Danio rerio: one gene and its partner. The protein of the gene in region 1 binds, or shares a complex with, the protein of each later gene. Links are inferred from orthologs where the notes say so. Each region holds a gene or a part of one and is shown in the gene's direction. Other genes may lie near its edges. The genes, in order: os9 and ube2j1.

Region 1 (3,538 bases):
AGGCTACGCAAACTCTAGAAAATACACTAGGGAAACTTCTGGACCGTCTTGAAGACAAGACTGAACATAAGAGTCAAGCAGAAACAGAACAAAATGCAGAAATGGATAAAAGCACACATTCACCGCATAAAACAGAGGGAGGCTCTTCTTCTGGCAACCCAAATCTGGTTCCCAAAACACCAGGTAAATATAGAGACCTCAGAGGGGAAACAGGTGCATGAGCGAACAGATGGTAGAATGGATGGCTCATTAAAATGTCTCTAACTTTCATCTGTGCACCCCAAGCATTCATAGAATCTGCTTATGAGCTTATTATACTATACATATATAGTATAATGTCTGTGTGTGCATGGCTTGTATTTTTGCATTATACAGTGGCTCAAAAAAGTAGTCATCAACAAACAACTGATGCTAGACCATTTCAATTAATGGCAAATAATTTTTTCTAACTGATTTCAAAGAGAAATTATTAAGTATTAATTATGCCTGTCATGATATCTGCTTTTCTGTTGTACGATTTACACTATCTGACAAAAGTCGTGTTGCCTATCCAAGTTTTAGGAACAACAAATAACAACTTGACTTCTAGTTGATTGTTTAGTATCAGAAGTGGCTTATATGAAAGGCAAAGGCCTCTAAATTACGCTTATTTTACCAAAATATGATCATGACTTGATTTTTAATTATTTAATTAGGACAGTAAGGTCTGACTTTGCTTAGACAAAAGTCTTGTCACTTAACAGAAATAATGTACAGTATAGAATAAAGTCATGGTGCAGTGAAAAAAGAATTAAAATAGTGTATGACTGCCATGAGCTTGCAGGACTGCACTGACACAAGTCATTTGGAATGGTAAAGAAAGCGTTCCTGCAGGACTCCCGGGTCATCAAGATTCTTTGGATCCATCTTCAATGCCTCCTTCATCATCTTACCCCAGACATGCTCAATGTTCATGTCTGGTGACTGGGCTGGCCAATCCTGGAGCATCTTGACCTTCTTTGCTTTCAGGAACTTTGATGTGGAGGCTGAAGTATGAGGAGCGCTATCCTGCTGAAGAATTTGCCCTCTCCTCTAGTTTTCAATAAAATTGGCAGCACAAATGTCTTGATACCTCAGGCTGTTGATGTTGCCATCCACTTTGCAGATCTCTTGCACGCCCAATACTGAATTTAACCCCAAACCATGATTTTTCCTTCGCCAAACTTGTCTGATTTCTATGAAAATATTGGGTCCATGCAGGTTCCAATAGGTCTTCTGCAGTATTTGTGATGATAGAGATGCAGTTCAACAGAAAAATCTATCCTCTGCTACTTTTCCAAATGATAAACTAGAAGTCAAGTTTATATTTGTTGCTCTTACAACTGGAAAGGATGACAAGGTGCTGTAGGGCAAAATATATTGCGAAACTATATTGTAATTTTAAGATCATTTTATGCCACTCATTATATAATCCCAGAATGACAGTATAATATTATTGCAATGCAAGTACACTCTTCCAAAGAAAACATCATATTTTATTTTTAGGAATATTTTATTTAATTACAGACATTTTAATAATGAGGCATTGCGATCAGAATGGAATGTGAAAACGTGTTTCCTAAACAATTAAATAATAGTAAATGTTAACAAAATGTGCAATGCAAAAAGTAACAGAGGCTGTGATATCTGCTACCAGATTTCTTTTCATTTGTCAGACACCAAATAATTTATAGTTAATACTATAGTGTTTTTAACTATACTGACACTGAAACCTTCAATACAGATCGAGAGGTTGGGCAAACAGCTAAAATGTTGCTAGTTTTTATGTATGAGCCATATATATTGCATCACCAAAAATTATTGACGTCAAGTCTATGTATTGATTATAGTGACGAGCCAAGTATTAATAATTTTTTTTATTGTAATTTTTTATGATACACTGCTATTTGAAGGTTTGGGATTGGCTTGATTTAGGGTTTTGAAAGGATATCTTGCTTATCAAGGCTTTGTTTATTTAATTAAAATACAATAAAAAACAGAACAGTCTGTTTTAGTATGTATTTAATTAAATATAATTTATTTCTGGAGTTTGAATTGAATTGCCACATGACAAATGAGAAATTGGTTACTCAAGAAACAATTATTATTATTATTATTATCAGTTTCAAAAATAGTTGTGCTGCTTTAAAGGCATAGTTCTACCAAAAAATGTTTAGTAGTTGGCTACCAGTTTCCAGCATTCTTCAAAATGTCTTCCTTTGTGCATTTCAGAAAAAAAATTATACATTTTTAAACCACTTGAGAAAAAGTAAATGATGACAGATATTTTCATTTTACTTAACTGCCTCTTTAAAACAAAATCTTTTGTAATATTTTTTAAAGTATTTTGATTCATTCCTACTGACCTCTATGGAAGCCCGTTCTGGCCACTGAATAAAGAATGAGTTCAATGAAAAAAAATATATAAAGTAATAATTCTGAGTTAAGTCAAAATTCTGAGTTATTAAGTCAGAATTGCGAGTTTTTAAGTCAGAATTCAGAGTTATTAAGTCAGAATTCAGAGTTAAGTCAGAAAGGTGAGTTATAAAGTCAGAATTGCGAGTTATAAAGTCAGAATAGCGAGTTAAGTCAGGATTGTGAGTTGTTAAGTCAGAATTCAGAGTTATTGAGTCAGAATTGTGAGTTTTTAAGTCAGAATAAACAATAAAAAGTTGGATATAGGCTTTATGTTTTGATTATGAGCTAATGTGCATGCATCTTTAACACTGCATTTATGGTCAGTTGGCATAACAGGAAACGCAATTATAATTCGCAATTCTGACTTAAATACTCAGGATTGTGACTATAACTCAGAATTCTGACTATAATTCGGAGTTGCGACTTTATAACTCAGAATTGCGACTTTATAACTCAGAATTGCGACTTTATAACTCAGAATTCTGACTTTATAATTTTTTTTTATTATTAGTATTTTTTTTTTATTCAGTGGCAGGAATGGGCTTCCATAGACCTCAACCTATTCAATAGTAGTGTATTTTTGTTTACTTATTTTCAATGATCAGCAGTCAAAATACTTTTTAGATGCCACTGTATAAACGATGTTCATGATGAAATCACTGTCACCGCTGTTTTTAATTCTACACATTGCCATACTGCTGTGCAACTCTGTCTTTTGATGTAATACAAAGTGGGCAGGGGGATTTTATTTTGCGATGTACTCGCGGTAACCCTACCCTTCCCTCTGTCTCACATCACCCAAGCGGACAGCAGCGGCGGCGGCGAGCAGGTAAAAGTCAGGGTGACTAAGTATAAGGTGGGCGGAGGTGTGGCTGCAGGAGCGGTTACCGGGGGCAACGATGATGGTGATGATGATGAGGGGGGTGTGAAGGTGCAGGAACTGGGCGAGGGCGACCCCCAGTGGCAGCAGATTCATGAAGTGGTCAAAGAGCAGCTAGAGAGAGCCGGCATCAAGGCCGAAGGTAGGCCAGAACACACACACACAAATCTAAAGTATGCTTATTTCCCTGTGTGTGTGTGTCTTTGTGAGTGGAGCAAAAAC
Region 2 (2,513 bases), on another chromosome or scaffold:
TTTCTTTGAATAAACAAATTGAAGTCCAGATGAAACTGATTTATAAAATTTGCCTAGAAATCTTCTTAAAAGCGAGTGTACAGCATAATAAATGTCACTTTATTTGTTAATGATTATGGCCCATGTGATGATTTAAAGTGGCGCAGATTTTTTTTAAATGCACATCTCCGCCCCTGTTTTTTGCGTACATCATATTTATAATTGAGACCCCATGTGTAAACAGCCCCTAACATTCTAGATGCGATCCTGTATAGTTTATGCTCCATTCAGCCAGTTTAGTGTCTGTCAGCTTTGTGTTTTTGACTGTTTGTCTCCATCTTGTGTCTGAATAATGTGCAGGTTAGTGTATACTCCATCAGCTGTTTTAGTGTCTGTTGTGTTTTTGACTGTTTGTCTCCATCTAGTGTCTGAATAATGCGCAGGTTAGTGTATACTCCATCAGCTGTTTTAGTTTCTGTTGTGTTTTTGTCTGTTTGTCTCCATCTAGTGTCTGAATAATGCGCAGGTTAGTGTATACTCCATCAGCTGTTTTAGTGTCTGTTGTGTTTTTGACCGTTTGTCTCCATCTAGTGTCTGAATAATGCGCAGGTTAGTGTATACTCCATCAGCTGTTTTAGTGTCTGTTGTGTTTTTGACCGTTTGTCTCCATCTAGTGTCTGAATAATGCACAGGTTAGTGTATACTCCATCAGCTGTTTTAGTGTCTGTTGTGTTTTTGACTGTTTGTCTCCATCTTGTGTCTGAATAATGCGCAGGTTAGTGTATACTCCATCAGCTGTTTTAGTTTCTGTTGTGTTTTTGACTGTTTGTCTCCATCTTGTGTCTGAATAATGCACAGGTTAGTGTATACTCCATCAGCTGTTTTAGTGTCTGTTGTGTTTTTGACTGTTTGTCTCCATCTTGTGTCTGAATAATGCGCAGGTTAGTGTATACTCCATCAGCTGTTTTAGTTTCTGTTGTGTTTTTGTCTGTTTGTCTCCATCTTGTGTCTGAATAATGTGCAAGTTAGTGTATACTCCATTAGCTGTTTTAGTTTCTGTTGTGTTTTTGACTGTTTGTCTCCATCTAGTGTCTGAATAATGCGCAGGTTAGTGTATACTCCATCAGCTGTTTTAGTGTCTGTTGTGTTTTTGACCGTTTGTCTCCATCTAGTGTCTGAATAATGCGCAGGTTAGTGTATACTCCATCAGCTGTTTTAGTGTCTGTTGTGTTTTTGACTGTTTGTCTCCATCTAGTGTCTGAATAATGTGCAGGTTAGTGTATATTCCATCAGCTGTTTTAGTTTCTGTTGTGTTTTTGACTGTTTGTCTCCATCTAGTGTCTGGATAATGCACAGGTTAGTGTATACTCCATCAGCTGTTTTAGTTTCTGTTGTGTTTTTGACTATTTGTCTCCATCTAGTGGCTGAATAATGCGCAGGTTAGTGTATACTCCATCAGCTGTTTTAGTTTCTGTTGTGTTTTTGACTGTTTGTCTCCATCTAGTGGCTGAATAATGCGCAGGTTAGTGTATACTCCATCAGCTGTTTTAGTTTCTGTTGTGTTTTTGACTGTTTGTCTCCATCTAGTGGCTGAATAATGCGCAGGTTAGTGTATACTCCATCAGCTGTTTAGTGTCTGTCAGCTCTTTGTTTTTGACTGTTTGGTGCCTTCTTTTATTGTCTGCATGGAGGTTCTGGACAGAAATTCATATTTGACACTGACATACAACATATATTTACATTCTATAAAGCCCATAAAACACTTTAACCCAACTCATCCCAAATAGAGAGGGTTTATTATATAAAAAAAACAAACAAACAATCCTGATAATACATATTCCAGCTAAAGGACTTGATAAAGGATTCAGCTAAAGGATTTGTCACCACTTATGGAATAAATGACCTTTTGAACTCTTTCTTGTCACTAGTTTGTGCAGCCTCCGCCCTAAAGGAAGGGTCTCAAAGTGAAAATGGAGGAGTCGAGTCTGATCAGAATACGCAGCATGTGCCTTTTTCTTCAAGAACTGTGAAAACAGTTTATTTATTACACTTGATTACCGCTCCAGTTTTTTGTCTACTCCATGTTTATAAATGAGACCCCTGTTGTGTAGTGTGGAAGTGATGGTGTGTCCTGCACTGATCTCCGCTCTCTGTCGTCTTCTGCTTTAGACCGAATCCTCATCTGTGGCTCCTCAGACATCAGCCGAGGATCCATCAGTTTCAGCAGCTCCCAGTCCGCGTCAGCGCCGCTCCCAGAACCAGTCCCCTAGATCCCCCGTGTTCCCGGCGTCCCCTGCACCCCCGCACCTCCCTCAGGACAGCAGTCGCACCGGCTCGGCCATCCTCATCGTGCTGCTCACGCTGGCTCTGGCCGCACTCATCTTCCGCAGGATCTATTTAGCGCACGAGTACAAGTTTGACTACGAGCTGTGAACTCTTTCCCAAGCGGCGTTCGCTCTGGCACCAGGACGGGACGCCTGTTTCCTACATTCAACTCTTCGTAAATGTTTTCACCAATCAAAAGGGGTGAATAT

The links.
Region 2: os9 (region 1) and ube2j1 share a complex: the UniProt entries of both Homo sapiens proteins name them as parts of the HRD1 complex. The link is inferred for Danio rerio from reciprocal best matches to the Homo sapiens genes OS9 and UBE2J1.

What each region holds. Positions count from the first base shown.
Region 1 is NC_133181.1:41,754,961-41,758,498, reverse strand, and holds part of os9 (protein OS-9), read left to right. Parts: coding exon 1-183; intron 184-3,239; coding exon of another isoform or gene 3,240-3,458; intron 3,459-3,538. UniProt on the Homo sapiens protein: Lectin component of the HRD1 complex, which functions in endoplasmic reticulum (ER) quality control and ER-associated degradation (ERAD).
Region 2 is NC_133195.1:1,225,676-1,228,188, reverse strand, and holds part of ube2j1 (ubiquitin-conjugating enzyme E2 J1), read left to right. Parts: exon of another isoform or gene 1-535; intron 536-700; exon of another isoform or gene 701-1,777; intron 1,778-2,148; coding exon 2,149-2,412; 3' UTR 2,413-2,513. UniProt on the Homo sapiens protein: Catalyzes the covalent attachment of ubiquitin to other proteins. Functions in the selective degradation of misfolded membrane proteins from the endoplasmic reticulum (ERAD) and is essential for cells to recover from ER stress.